Caenorhabditis elegans: one gene and its partner. The protein of the gene in region 1 purifies or fractionates together with the protein of each later gene. This does not show direct contact. Each region holds a gene or a part of one and is shown in the gene's direction. Other genes may lie near its edges.

Region 1 (9,420 bases):
CTTTCTGCGATGTGGACTCCGGTTACCTGGTAACCACAAAGGAAATCATCCACAAAATTCTCTCGATAATTGTTATCGGAATACTCACAAGACTCATGGAGTCACTTTCACATAAAAACGTATGCCTTTCACTCGATAGAAAGTCTTTCTTGGGACCTGGTCCATCAGATCATGATTTTTTAACGCGAAAATTACCAAAGTAGCTTGTTAGAGATAAATAGATAAAGAGATAGAGAGAGCGAGTGCGCGAGTGCACGAAAAATGGAAAGAGAAAAGTTAAAGAGCGATAAGAGGGAGAGAGCGATGAACTAAACATTATATAGTAAAAAAGCTTGGATAAAATAACAATACCGAAAAGAGCGCGTATGACAGAGAGATAGAGAAGAGACAGAAACGAACATATATTCTCCAAGATGAGAGAGAACCACTGACCATTTCGAAATGGACATAAAACTTAATGAAGTGCCCAAGTTGCAGGGGAAAATCAGCCTTTGAGCTTCCGAAAGTACGCTTCCTGAGCGTTACAAGTAAAAACTGAGAATTTAAATGAATTCCTCCTGCAAATCCTGCATCTGCTCAGATTACTCTTGAAAAACGTAAAAATTACCACATTTTTATCATTACGAAACGAGAAAAACGCTTGAAACGCAACAGAATCGAGTAAAATCGATAAATAACCTAACAACTACTAAAAATTTGATAAAAATACAATAAAATCAAAGAAAAATCCAAAAAAAATCGATGCAAATCGATAAAATCACGTCCTTTTTCGTTACCAACACGTAGAATGATGACCATTCGCCGCTGCGGCCAAGGCAAGATTTCATCGCGTCGAGACCCATCGAACACTAAAGGCGATGCGCCTTTAAGCTGGCGCTACGATACTCGCTCCGCTTTCTCGGGGAAAACATATAATTATGAAATGTAATTTTTTTTCTCAATTACATATTTATTTAGTTTGAGATTCCTACAACAACATTAATTTCTAACACATATGTATAGGTACAAATTTTGGAAATTTAGTGCCACTGTTTCTAAAAGTTCATAAAGTTGCAGTTCTAATTTTTACTTAGTAATCTTTTTCTGTTCAATAGTCAATCAAAAAATGTCTAGGCTGTGCAAAAATCGAGTTTTTCAAAGATGTTCAACACTTTTATCCTATCAATATAATGTTGAATTTTTTGTTGCCTGCAAATTGATTTAAAAAAACATGCAATTTCGGCTTTTAGAGGTTTTCTAGGCAAGATGTGAGTGTTCACTGTTTCAGCTTGTACAGAAGTAATGAAACAACTTTTTTATTGCTTCATGTGTTCTATAAAACTCGCCAGAACAGGCCGTTGAGACTGTATAAATTCTTCACTGTTTCAGCGAATTTTTAAAGAGTTCCATGCAATTTAATGTCACTTTAGTGGTCACTTTGGTGTATATTTTCAACAGACAAAAGCTTTTATGTTTCTGAATATTTCGAAACAGTAAATTCCCAATGCTGATAGTGAGTGAAATCGGAACGTCAAAACGAATTTTGCACCTATTTAAAGTTCCAATTTGCATTTAAGATTTTCAGATTTTAATTTGAAATTCCTACGAAAACATAGGTAATTTCTAGCGCAATCCCCAAGAAGAGCACCTAATTTTGTTTCGAAATTCAGTGCCACTGTTTCTAAAAGTTCATAAAGTTGTAGTTCTAATTTTCACTTAGTCATCCTTTCGTGTTCAATTGTCAATCAAAAAGTGTCTAGGCTGTGCAAAAATCGAGTTTTTCAAAGATTTTCGACACGTTTCTCCTAGCAAAATATTTTTTATTTTTTTGTCGTCTTAGAGGCGCGTTATTATCTCGGCGAGATGTAAGTTTTTACCGTTTCAGCATGTTATTAAACAGAGGTAATAAAAAATGTTGCAATTATAATCTCACATGCGATGAATATAAAACTACCGAAACATACCGTTGAGACTTTATAAATTCTTCACTGTTTCAGCAAATTTTGAAAGAGTTTCATGCAACTTATTGGCAATAGGCACATAATGTTCACTCTGGTGTATATTTCTAACAAACAAAAGCTTTTCTGTTTCTGAAGATTTCGAAACAGTAAATTCTCTGATAGTGAGTGAAATTGGAACGTCAAAACGAATTTTGCACCTATTTAAAGTTCCAATTTGCATTTAAGATTTGAAGCTTTTAATTTAAGATTCCTATGACCATGTAAGTAATTTCTAGCACAATCCCCAAGAATATCACCTAATTTTTTTCGAAATTTAGTGTCACTGTTTCTAAAAGTTCATAAAAGTGTAGTTCTTTTATGAAGTGTAGTTCTTTTTGAGAAATTAACAGAAAACAACCACACCCATACTCCCAACCCCAAATCGTCATTTCGGAAATTCTGCCACTTTTTAATGCCATTTGTGTTGGCTCTCGCATGTGTGCCGACACCTTGATAAGGATTTTATTGGGGAATTGGGAGTCTGATAAGATGTAAAAGTGCCACGAAGAATTGGTTGACACTTGGTTTTGCTATTTGAATTAGAATAGTTACCGAGAAGAAGCTCGTCGAAATGAAAGGATTTGTGGTTCTAGGTGAGCAAATTTTTGTTGTATATTGGAAAATAAAAAAAAAGATAGAAGAATATTAATTTTTTGAAACGGAAAAAAATATTTTTAAAAATTCGAAAATGTTTATTTAAAACATTGTCTGTTTCATATCATTGTTTTCAACTCAAATGAAATATTTAAATATTTTGAACCGTTTCCATAGTTTGTATCGTTAAAATATTGAATTTTAGAGCTTTAAAAGTGTTCTGTCAATGTTCTGAAAAAAATTAGAATCTTCGAAAAATTTTGAGATTTTTCTTTTTTGGTCAACTTACAAAATTTTTAACGGCAAAAACTGAGTAATAATTCATGATATTTGATTTTTTTTAGCCTTGAATTAGAGGTTTTTAACATTTTTCCTATTTAGCTATTGTCACATTTCCAGCGCTACTAAAAAAATTTGAATTTTTAAATCACTATTGTGAAACAGGATTTTTTTTCCAATTTAAATTTTTAATTCAATAAGGTCTATCAATCTCTGGTTGTATTACTCTTTTGAGCACAGTTCTTCTAGAAATAACATCTACGACTGACAAAAAAAAAGCAAAATCAACCAAACAGCCAAGATGTGGGCGGAGTTTAATATGAAGTTTTCTTGGTACTTTTTAAAAGTGTGAATCTATTTTTGTCTTGAATTCAATTTTGAAAAAATATACTCCACCCATATCTTAGCTTCTTGTATTTTGGCTCTGAATTTAAAAGTTTGTTTTAAAAAATTTTGTTTCATACCATTGTTTTGAGCTTCAAGGTTTTGATTTTAATTCAATTTTCACTCGAAGAAAATTGAATTAACATGAAATTAAATTAGCAAACTGTGAATATAGATTAAGTGGGGACTTTGATTCAATATGAACACTTATCTAATGGAAAAAACACTCCAAGTAATTTTAGAGCTTCGAAATGTGATGCCAAAGTTTTCGACGAATTATCGGTTTTTGTTTTAATCTGCGCTTATGCAAAATTTTTGAAGCAAATTTTGCATTTTTTGGCTCCTAAACTGTTTAGCTACAAGTATTTGAAACTAAATTAGAATATAAAAATCTCAGAAACTTTTTTATAATTAGAGGTACTTTTATCAGCGATACATTGGAGAACATATTGGTTTTTCGAAATCACAATAGTGAAACAGGAATTTTTTTCCAAATTTAAGTAAACAAGATGTAAGTTCTATTACACACACTTATTTTACAATTAGTAAAATTTTATTTTACCGCAAAAATTGCAATACAAAATTGCCCAAACAACCAAGATGTGGAAGGGGTCTATAATTACATTTTCTTGAAATTTTAAAAACTTTAGCTCTGCTTTTTCTATACTTGAATTTATGTAAAATTGTGACTACTACTCAACCTTAAAAAAACAAAAATTTTCAAGAAATAGACTCCGCCCATATCTTGGTTCTTTTTTTTCTTTGGTTTTATAATTTTTCTCGTTTTTTTTCTTGAATGAATGAAAATACGCAAGAAGTGAAAAATAATACATATCACAAACGTCACAAATTTTCTAACTAATGGGCAATGCTCTTACTTTCCTTATTTGGCGATTTTCCAAAAATGTAAAATTTTTTGAATTTGAAGTACGAAAATTTTCCAACCTCAAAAAAAATTTTCCTCCAACTTTATGAATCTAAAAACTTCAAATTTTCAGCCCTTGCCCTCTTGGCTTCTACCCAAATTTCTGCTCAAACTCCTCCAACATGCGTCGACGCAAAATTCCAAGCTTGCCAGTACAATATGGCTCAAAGCCTCGGGCTCAATGATACGGTATCTGCTCAATTGTTCAAGGACTATACTATCATGTACAACTACTTCCTGTACATGTTCGGAAGAAATCCAGGACAGACTGCCGATATGTTGACCGTTTGCAAGTTAGTCTTGAAAATTTATCAATGTTGAAGTTAGGAAGAATATTGATTTTAATACTTTGTGAAACAGTAACTTTTCGATTAAAAAAGTAATTTTGTAATTTTTTCTACATGTCCAACAGCCCAACGAGACATTTGAAAATTCAGAATTTTTAACAAAACTTTGAAACAATGTTTGTTGGAAATTATAGAAAACAAACAAGACCGGTTTTGAAAAAACAGTATTTACTTCTTTGAATATTTTTAACAGTTTGAAATAGAGAACTTGGAGCATTTTTTTTTTCCAATTTTTTAACACACCCTAGAATTATGTTTTTAATAAAGTTTAATTGTAACTAGAAATCGTGTAATAGTGAGAAATGGTTCTCTCAAATTCCATAATTTTCGAGTGAATGCTTTAAATTGTAAACACTATAGGAAGTATCTGTTCTATCGATGTTTAAGTTGAAAATATCAATTAAAAAGTACACCAAACAGTAATTTTTCGAAGAACAAACATTTTTTCCATATTATGATTCCTTTAAAAGTCGAATGTTTATTGAAGAGAGTGACTAGTTATTTGGAAAGTCCCAATATTTTTTTGAAAAATTTGAAACAGCGATTTTTTTTTAAATTATATGCAACATAAAAGGAAAGAGCACTGCAAATTCGAAACTGTTTGAGAAAATTTTAATGTTTTAAATGGAAAAAATGTTCTGTACAATTTCACTAACTTTGTAAATTCAATTCGATTTCCCGAAAAGTTAGTAATCCAACGTTTATTTCAGACTTTAAGCGCATTTTTCAAAACAAAAAATGCAATTGGAAATATTTTAAAACAGATCGAAAATTCTCACTGAAAAATCAAAAATTATAAAAAATACTTTACTGTTTCACAAACATTATAATACAGTTTTTAAAAATTGTTTTCCACTCATAAAATAATAAAATTCCAATTTTCTAAAATTTCAGCAGTCTCGAAACTTTCAATCTCTGCATGCACGGAAACCGTGGATGTTTGGACATTTACAACCTAATCAAGAAGACTGACATTAATAATGTAAGTTTTGGAATTTAAAAATACGAACATTGGAACAGCAATTAGTCTTTTTCAAACAAAAAAAAACAGAAGTATTTCACACAGAAAGCCAAGAAAAATGAGAAGAAAATCTTCGAAAATTGCAGGCTTACGCGGTGGAGGCAACCTATAGACAATACTCGTCCTTCAACTGTGGCCCAGGAATTAATAGTTGGGTTTTTTTTTTTGGAATTTTGAGGGGAAAATGTAGAAAAATTTGGGGATTTTTTTGAGTTTTACATTGAAATGTAGTGCGAAATCTATTTTTCGAACAGATATTAGCAGTTTACCACATTAAAAGTTATTGGAAATTTGAAGTATTTGAGTTAAATAATATTATTGAAAAAATAAACTTGGAGTTTTCACAGCAAATTGAAACAGTAAAATTTTTTTTTTTGGAAAAAAGTATTGAATTTTAAATTTTATAAAAAAATGAAATTTTAAATGAATTTCGGAAATTCTGTAAATCTAGTATCTCGTTGAAATGAATTTAATGGTTTTCGAATTTTGTTACATTGATTTTAGATAAATTGATTTTTTATTCAAGAAATAATAAAAATAATAAACTAGACAATCTGAAAATAATATGAAACAGAAAATAATTTTTCGTATAAATTAATTTTCAAATTAAACTATTTAACTATCTAATTTTCGTTGTTTTTTGCACAACGATACTAAATTTGAGATGTTCAATCAATCCAATGGAGCTTTGTCGCAAAACTATGTTTATTAATATCCTACTGCGACTAACTCAAAAAAAATTAACTCGAAGATTTGAAAACACATTGAAACACTAGAAATTTTTCAAAAAAGTTGAAGAAGTGTTACCATAAAACTTGTCAAAAAGTAAATTAGTGTACCTATGTCCAGTTTGTAGGCGTGGCTTGCGATGCTCCGCCCTTTTCTCTCAGAGCAAGTAAATTTTGTGGTAAATGCAGTTATTCGTTGAATTTTAATTTTTTTTAAAGTTCTGTAATAACATCATTACCATATATAAAGCGCTATTCCGTTTGTCTCTGACGTCACGGGTGACGTCACAACATTCAGCGCAAAAATTCAACTGAGAAAATTTTGAGGCTACTTATGATGAATGCGCACCCGACATCGATCGAGGTACGCGATAAACCACTCGACACTTTCCGAAAACATTTTGGCGGGAATTCAAATTTTAATTTTTCTAAAACATTTTGGCGGGAATTCAAATTTTAATTTTTTAAAATCATTTTGGCACTTATTCCGTGTGTCCATAGTTTGTAGTCTATGTAGTCTTTGTAGTCTGTGACGTCACAGCTTAAAGAGGCAATGCGTTTTGAGATGTTTGAGAGATATTGGTTTGGGGTTAGAAGGGGGATATGGTCGGGGTACTGTAGTAGTACTGTAGTTTTAGAAAAATAAACAATTTTTCGAAAACATTTTGGCGGGAATTCAAATTGAAATTTTCCGAAAACATTTTGACGGGAATTCAAATTTAAATGTTTTAATAATATTATTGTGGAATACTTTAGAACACTCTGGAAAATTGGAGAAAATTCTGGAATGTTCCAGAACCTTCTTGGAAATTTGGGAAAGTTCTGGAATCTTCTTGAATCATCAGGAAAATTGGGGAAAATTCTGGATTGTTCTAGAACCTTCTCGAAAATTCGAGAAAATTTTGGATTGTTCCAGAATCTTTTGAAAAACTCGAGAAAATTCTGAATGTTTGTGGCGAGACCTATCGTGGTTAGACCCATCATGGTGAGACCCTTAAAACTTTCGGTGGGAAATTGCTGGAAATAAATATTTTGCCGCGAAGTTCGAATTTAAATTTTTTTGAAATCATTTTGGCGGGAATTCAAACTTCAATTTATTGAAAACATTTTGAAGAGGTGTTGATATAGGAGTTAGTGGAGAATAATGTCAAGGTACTGTAGTGGTACTGTGGGGGGGGGGGGTACTGTTGGTAGGTGCCCGCGCCGTAGGCGCGGTCAACGGCTGGTTGGTAAACACGAACAACCAATAACAAAAAATCACTTGACAATTTGAGAATAATATGAAACAGACTTTTTTCTCAGTCAAACCGTTAGTGATCTAATTGTAAAAAAAAACATTTTTAATTAGATTTCGAGCAAAGTTAACACAGTCATAATTAGAAGGGTACAAATTCTAATTTAAAATGACTTTTCTAATTTAATTGAATTAGAAATGAAAAACTAATTTAGCATGGGGGAAATAAAATACAGTTTGGTATTTCAAATTAGTAATGCTTGTTAGTAATGTGCCAAATTTAAAATGGTTTTTATCTAATTGGATCACTAATGGTTTGACTGAGTTGTCGCTCAAATTAATTTTTTAATAATTCGAAAATGTATAATTTTCGTAGTTTTTTCTCAAATAGACTAAAGTTTACGCAATTTCGAATGCAGAAGAATCGGCTAGAATATTGGAAAAAAAATTTTGAAGTTTCAAAAGCAAGTTGAAACAGTCGATAATTTTTTTTTTTAAAAACCGAAATTTTACATCTTAAGTAATCGGCAAAACATGTCTAAAACAAAATTAATCTATGTCCATTTTGTAGGCGGAGTTTACAAGGTTCCGCCCCTTTCTTAATGAGCAAATAGACTTTCGGTAAATGTAGTGTCTCGTTGAAATAAATTTTATGGTTTTTGAATTTTGTTACAATGATTTTACATAAAAGGATTCTTATTGAATAACCAATAATAAAAAATAACTTGACAGTTTGAAAATAATATGAAACAGAATATAATTTTTCGCATAAATTACTTTTCAAATTAAACTAATTGTCTAATTTTCGTAGTTTTTTGCACAAAGATACTAAACTTGAAATGTTCAATCAAAATTTTTTGTTGCGAAAAAATAATATTCGTTCAGTGGAGCGCATTTTCTTTATTGTAAATTTTATATATTCAAGTTAAGCTCTAAATAGTCCACATAGCCATCGAATATTGAAAATAAATTAACCTGAATATTTAAAAGCAAGTTGAAACAATCGATAATTTTTTTGAAAAAAAAAAAAATTAAAACTTTAAATGCCACAAAGCAGGAATAAAACGAAATTAATCTTTGTCCATTTTGTAGGCGGGGTTTACAAGGTCCCGCCCTTTTTTGCAGTGACTTCTTCAATAAGTTATTTTTGAAGCAAGCAAAAATGGAAGTGAAACAATTAAAAAACTAAAACTTTTTGAAAATAATATGAAACGAAACATATTTTTTTCGGGCAAATTATTTCCCAAATAGTTTTTTTTCACACTGGCTATAGTTTATAAACTCAAAACTTTCAATCAGAAAGTCCCAAACGTATTGATTTTGCTATTAACATTTTTTTTTGTTCAGTGGAGCGCAGTTGCATTGTTGAAAACTTTTTAAAAATTTTTTAATAATACCTAGAACTTATACTAGTATTGAAAAAAAAATCACTTGAAGATTTGAAAGCATATTGAAACAGCAAATTTTTTCACAAAGTAAAAATTTTTTTTTTCATTTTAGTGAGCTACAATACATATCTAAAAATCAATTTTGAAATCCAATAGAGCGCACTTTCAGCTCTCGAGCACGAAGGCCTCAGCTGCCCACAACGAGTTCTCAACACCCAATCAAATATTCTCATCGGATGCGTTCAAACCTACATCACCAACGTGGCAAATGACGCTACAAACGGTTGCAAGTGAGTTGTTTGCTAGAGCGCGTTTGCAGAGTAGATCAAAAAACTAATTTTCAGGTACGGTCAAGACCTCATGAATTGCTGGTCAGCCCCATTCCAGACTGCTCCCTGCCGCAGAGAAGCTGGAGTTGCCACGTGGTGGGCTTGTGAGCAGAATAAGGTTTTCGTGAAGACTACCTTCCCAAGTTGCCCATTGGCTTGTGATGGTTTGTGCAGTAGAGCGCTGTTGCATTTTGTAAAATAATTTTTTGAAA
Region 2 (6,033 bases), on another chromosome or scaffold:
AAATGTTTCTAAATACCAAAAAGTTAAAAAATTAACAAATTGCATTTTAATTTAGACATTCGAACAAAAAGGAAACAGTGAGGGAATTGTTTAAAACAACTCCAATATTGCCAAAATGATCAAATACCACAGTAAACTTTTCAAAAAACATCGAAATTTTTTATTGACAGTCAAAAAGTTGCAGTCTCTGAGTTTTTGCTACTTTTGGACGTCGTTGATCAAAAATAACTTTCTTTAAAATTTTATGGTCCACTTATATTAATAGCCAAACATTATGAAAATTCAAACATACAACAGTGCTATAGTATTATCAAAAAAAGTGGGAAAAACCTAGTAAATACCACTTTTTGAAAGTAAAAAAAATTGTCAAAACGTTTTTAAAATAGCAACAAGTTAGAAAGAAAAAAAACCTTGCACAAAAAATAATTTATACGTCCCACATTTCAGGGGTTCCTGACACCATTCAACCAATATTCGTGAAACCCGCTGAAATTGAATCAGAGGAGTCACTTATACCAACTACTCCAGCTGCACCAATACAAGTTGTTCCATCTTCTGAAACGGTGTCTGAAATTTCATCAGAGTTTGCTCCAGCTTCAAATGAGTCCCCATCAGCGCTCTCGTTCACAGAGTTCAATATTGAATCTATGCCAATAATCAAGGAGACTGATTCTCCATCATCTTTCGACGAAAAATCGAACATCGGACTAACTTCGTCATCTGTAGCTCCGACTTCGCCAGAAGTGCCTGTGACAACATCCGAATCGACTACTCCCGAACATGCAATCACTTCCGAAGCCCCTGAGCCAATTTCTGAAGTGTCAAAAGCAACTCCCCTAGAGCATCACTACGCAGAAGAGCGTGTCTATCCAACAATGGGCTCTGTTCAAGCTCCTATTGAATTTGTTGAAGTTTTGCCAAGCCAACAGACTGAAGTGGCATCTACCAGTATTGCCGAAACAGAAGAACCAACAACTACAGCTAAAACGCCCAAGAAACGCCGTCATAGAGTAGGGTTGATTTTTTTAATTTCAAATTGATAATTCCTGTTAAAAGGGCGGATGAGACCAACCTAGTGGGCTCGACGGCTTCGAACCTGATATTTTGATCATACAAAAGTGGGCGTTTTTATTTCAAAAAAGTTCAAGAAATTCTTCAATTTTCCAATTATTCCAATTATACTAATTTTAACTTCTTATAATTTCTTGAAAATTGGCCTACAAAAGTAGACTAAATTGAAGTTAAAGCTTGCCGACAAGGTATACTACTACATAGTCGCATGAAAATTATTTTTGATGATTTATTTCCAAGCATTGCAAATTGGTATTGTAGATCCCCTCGACCTTTCTTGAAGGTCTAAACTAACACCGTTCGAAATAAATGTTGTCAATTACAACAGAATTTATTTTTTATGCGAACTTAAAATTGAATTTGATATTTTCCAGCGAAAGCATCGAAAGCTGAAAAAAGTCACAAAAGTCACCGAGGCTCCAGCAGAAGTCACAGTACCCACGGAAATTGTTACTGAGCCAACAACTGAATCCGCAACAACTCCCACTACTACCACAACAATTTCCACCACCCCATTAGTCACAACTACACCACCAACAGCTCAATCTGCAATTGTAATTAAAACATTGCCGACTACAGTTGCTCCAAGCAAAGTGGGCGAGTCTTATCTCGGTGGATGGAATGAAGACGAAGCTGTAGTGGTCACAACATCAAAACCGTCTCTTGGATATGCAATCAGCCAATTCACACAGCTGCCTGAATCAATTGCTATCGACGACGACAAGTCAATTAAAGCGTACTATGAAAAATATTACGCTGAGTGGTATCAGTAAGTGTTTTTATAAAAAGATTTCAAAATGTTTAAGCAAACTATTTCCTTATTGCATTACAGAAAACACAATCAAGCTGCCGGCACCCCAGAGGCATCAGCCGCAACAGTTCCTCGAGAAATAAAAATAGAACTGGCTAAGCCAAACACAGCTTCTTTTGGATCAGCGACATTGCAACCCACTGTGAGTCATTTGCCTCGTCTTACCCAAATCATCTCTCTTTTTTTCTGTTTGAACACGACATCACTGTCAAACATGGGTTATCATCAATGCTATCGTTTTAGAAGCTATTAAAATCGAAGCCACATATTTTTATAGGGAATTTCTTCACCGTCCGCTGCAGCCGTAGAGCCGACAAAAGAACAACTGGACAAAGTTTGCGAATACGTGGGCAAAATATCCAAATCATTTGGAATCAAAGACCTTGTCGGATTCGCCAAGAACAATTGCCCTCTGGTGCAGAGCTTCCATCCAGCGGTATATCTCTCGAATTTATAGTCTTTTTGCATTCAAGTATTCTATTTTCAGTCCACCTGCGAGCAAATCCAGCATCTGATGAGTTACTGTGAAACAGGAATACTTGTAACCAACCAATGATCTCATACATCTTCCCAAACTGTGTATTTCTACTTTTGATGCCATGTTTTGATCTTTTTATTGCTAAATGTCACCAACTTCCCTGACAAATGTATTCTCTACCTTGTCCACAAATAATGAGATTCCATGACTTTTTTTCTAATAAATCTGGAACTGTAACAAGTAATTACCAGCCACGCCTTGTTTCCTGGCGTCATTTTAGGACTGAAAAGAGTTTTCGTCATTTTCAGAGCCGCTCCCTTTTTCATTTTCCATCAAAACTGAAAAAAAAGTGATAATGCAATTTGAAAAAGGGTATGACTATCATAATAAACGAAACGATAAACGTGCACATACACGCGTTAAGGAGAAAAAGAGGTGGGGAAGAGAAGGGGATGGTTGGCAAACCCATAAAGCGAGCCGGCCCTCGAAAGGTGGAGATTCAGACAGAAGTGCCAGCGGCAAAGTGATAACGGGAGACACGACTTTGCACTACGCCTGCTTCCCCGCGAAATGTGCTCTACCAATTATTGCCTGGCTGTTTTTGTACTAGTTGGTAAGATTCTTGACAGATTCTCTGTATCATGGAGCGCTTTTAATCGAAATTCTAGTAAAAACTAGGCACTATTTATTTGATTACCGATTTTTCAAAAATTCATAGTTCAAATGTCAATTGCTCACAACGATTTATCTAGGCACTCTCTTTTTCAAAATTTCGTTCAATTCCTGATTCTCGCATTCTCATTGCCTTTACCCCATCATTTACAAGTATTCAAAACTAAACAAGACCGTTCCACAGTTATTAGATTGGCAGAATTAAGTCTTGCACTAACCGGATTGCTTTTGCTTACTTATCATCAGTTTTGATAACGAAAAATTCCACGTGTTGCCCGGTAACGCCTAAATACTATTATGACTAAGTAACTTTTGCAAGATCGGGAACGTTCCCAAAATGAAATCTGCACAAGTATTAGACTACTGTAATTTCCTAAATCTAATGTGATTGTTGGTATTAGTTGCGTCACAACTAGCGGCGGGCATTTTCTTATCAAAAAGAAAATGTACGGTGGCACTGGATACGACTTTTAGAAACCAAACATTCCAGGCTCGATTATTTTTCAACCTATTAGAAGTTCTGGGAAAAAACTGAGAGACATGACCTTAAAAAATAAACCAATGAAAAGTTTCAGGCGTTGTGGCGGCACAAAACCCAAGTTTAACGGCATGCGATATCAATAACCAGCTAAATGTTTGTCAGAGTCAGTTCAATCAACTTTTGGGATTTGATGGTAATGAAACTGAAAAATAGAATTAAGCACAAAAGTTTTGGTGTTTCAGCTTCTCTCGGTGCTGCCAAATATCAAGACTTGAGAAGTGCCATTGAGCAGTCGTATGCCAATAACCAAGCATACGGGCTTCTTACAACTTGCGATGCCTTCAAGCAGTACAAGCAGTGCTAGTAAGTGACATAGTTTGCAATGTTGTGAGATTCACAATGTGCGACGGGAATATCTCAGTCGGTAGTGTGGTGATCGCAAGCAATCATGAGACCACTAGTTCAAGTCCTGCCTTTCCCTAGGATCACCCAACCTAGCTTGGGAATTAGAGGAATCCACTAATGGCTCGTGGCTTGAAACTAAAGCCTAGTGGGAGTTTAAAAACGGAACACCCTTTGATCCTTTAATTTTTACATCTCAAATCAACTGATTTATAGCCAACCAAAAGAACAGTTCTACGCATGTGCTCAGAACCCATACGGTCTTCTAACTGGAACCAAGTAAGTTCTCAATTCAATATATACTGTAACAGTTTTTGTCTGTTCTTCAGCAACAACGGCGCCCCACTCACACAGGATCAGGCTAATGGATACGTAAAAATCTGGAACCAACTTGATTTTGTCTGTGGTGCTGGATTCTCGAGTAAGATTAGCAATTATACTGTAATACTGAATACTAGAATTGAATTTTCAGTCTTTGCCAACTCTGAAGTTTGCGGCTCTTCTGTCTTTAACAACCAGACAGCTGCAATGAGACAGTGCGACAATGACTTCAACGTGAAGTCCATGGCTGACCCAGCTCAAGCTTGCGCGTAAGTTTTCAAGTTTTGTTTCCAATCAAAAAGAATAATGAATAATCTTAACTTTCTAGATACGTTGAGATCGCAGCCAACTGCTACTTCCAACTGTTCTGGAACGCTTGTAAGAAGCCAGAGATGGCCTACTGGGGTTGCAACTACGAGCGTACCGGTACCAATCTTCTCTTCCCACAGTGCTCTCAGATTTTCTGCACATGTAGGTTTTCAGAATGGGATGGGGTTTAAATAATGTTTATTTTATTTTCAGTCCACGAACGCGTCTGATCGTCTTTTGTTTAATCATCTCCATTTTTTGTTTTGGTCAAAATGTTTTATTTGAATTCACATTTTTGGGAATAAATCTATGTAATTTAATTCATAATTTTTTAATTTCAAAAATTTGTTTTCGTTTGAAATGCTTCAATGCATTGAATACTTCTGACTTTGTGTGTGTGTGTGTTTTTTTTTGCAAAATTAAAAATACATATTTGTGCTCACATTATGCTTTCAGATGTGGCAAGACCGGTGTTTGCCATTTCTTGCGTTGATTCTTGGATTGTCAGGTAAGTAAATTGAAATTAAAACTTGTGAAATATTTGTTTTAATCTTATTTTTTTATTCCAGGAGTCCAATCAGCCGGTCTAAACTGTGACTCGACGGTTTATTTTGAGTGCCAAACTGCTCTCAATGCGGTTTTGAGCATCAGCGACCCACAGCCATGGTTTGACCCCGAAAACTTCCGCAAGGAGGCAAGTTTTTAATACAATAGTTTCCACGCTTGCCATTCCATGAAATGATAACTGAATAAGGTGATATGACGAAGGGTGTGCATAGTGAAATGTGAAATGTGAGGTTTAGAACGTGTCGATGATAACTTTTAAGTCAATGGGATTAATTATGTCATCATGATTGTATTATAATCTGATTTTTTGATTATCAGAAAAAAGAGCAAAACACAATTATTGATTAAATTTAGGTGGAGACAAACTACCAGGCTCAAGGACCCAGTGGAATGCGTAAAGTTTGCAAGTCAGTACTTCACTAGATACTCTCTCTCGAATCCTGAATATAATTCCAGAGCTTTCCGCGAGTTTAAAGTTTGCATGGGCTCTGAATACGCGAACTGCATGTCTGCGGTCCATTTTGTTTCTGTATCGGCCACTCCATTCAACGCTTATCAATTTGTTGGACTGTTCAACCAAATGCACTTTGTCTGTGGAGCTGGATTGCAAAGTATGAATTTTTATTGTCATTTCCCGACGCGATGTCGGAATTGAATTTTGTTGAGTACACAATTACACATCTTTTTGGCATGGTATGAAGTTTCTAGAATAGGTGGAAAACACGGGGAGTGTCGAAATCAAACTTTCTGGGGCTTGCTGCTGTGGTAATTTATACACATTATGAGACTCTTAGAGGAATTTCTGAGTTATGATTAGAATAGGCATGAATACTAGCACATATTAGGTTTAAAAAAAACATTCAAGAGACGCAGGAAAATATGATATACATGGGAAATAGGTCCATCGCTGACCACAACCGA

Evidence for each region. The genes of interacting proteins can lie anywhere in the genome.
Region 2: the proteins of nspg-9 (region 1) and nspg-14 fractionate together in Caenorhabditis elegans (co-fractionation; one large-scale study listed by BioGRID). This does not show direct contact.

What each region holds. Positions count from the first base shown.
Region 1 is NC_003282.8:14,454,450-14,463,869, forward strand, and holds the start of nspg-9 (DUF19 domain-containing protein), read left to right. Parts: upstream 1-2,450; 5' UTR 2,451-2,550; coding exon 2,551-2,572; intron 2,573-2,573; exon of another isoform or gene 2,574-2,594; intron 2,595-2,731; exon of another isoform or gene 2,732-2,753; intron 2,754-2,950; exon of another isoform or gene 2,951-2,971; intron 2,972-3,353; exon of another isoform or gene 3,354-3,374; intron 3,375-3,491; exon of another isoform or gene 3,492-3,515; intron 3,516-4,073; exon of another isoform or gene 4,074-4,098; intron 4,099-4,234; coding exon 4,235-4,454; exon of another isoform or gene 4,455-4,475; intron 4,476-4,556; exon of another isoform or gene 4,557-4,577; intron 4,578-4,658; exon of another isoform or gene 4,659-4,679; intron 4,680-4,737; exon of another isoform or gene 4,738-4,758; intron 4,759-4,862; exon of another isoform or gene 4,863-4,883; intron 4,884-4,977; exon of another isoform or gene 4,978-5,002; intron 5,003-5,198; exon of another isoform or gene 5,199-5,219; intron 5,220-5,364; exon of another isoform or gene 5,365-5,385; intron 5,386-5,402; coding exon 5,403-5,490; intron 5,491-5,615; coding exon 5,616-5,679; intron 5,680-5,820; exon of another isoform or gene 5,821-5,844; intron 5,845-6,036; exon of another isoform or gene 6,037-6,057; and 19 more.
Region 2 is NC_003284.9:5,250,193-5,256,225, forward strand, and holds nspg-14 (DUF19 domain-containing protein), read left to right. Parts: upstream 1-2,854; 5' UTR 2,855-2,930; coding exon 2,931-2,973; intron 2,974-3,607; coding exon 3,608-3,706; intron 3,707-3,755; coding exon 3,756-3,876; intron 3,877-4,131; coding exon 4,132-4,194; intron 4,195-4,244; coding exon 4,245-4,336; intron 4,337-4,387; coding exon 4,388-4,505; intron 4,506-4,564; coding exon 4,565-4,707; intron 4,708-4,758; coding exon 4,759-4,775; 3' UTR 4,776-4,876; downstream 4,877-6,033. Other genes in the region: Y34B4A.10 (aECM cysteine-cradle domain-containing protein), read left to right, coding at 448-1,010, 1,446-1,840, 1,904-2,024, 2,160-2,318, 2,370-2,438; nspg-13 (DUF19 domain-containing protein), read left to right, coding at 5,002-5,053, 5,115-5,239, 5,467-5,519, 5,569-5,723.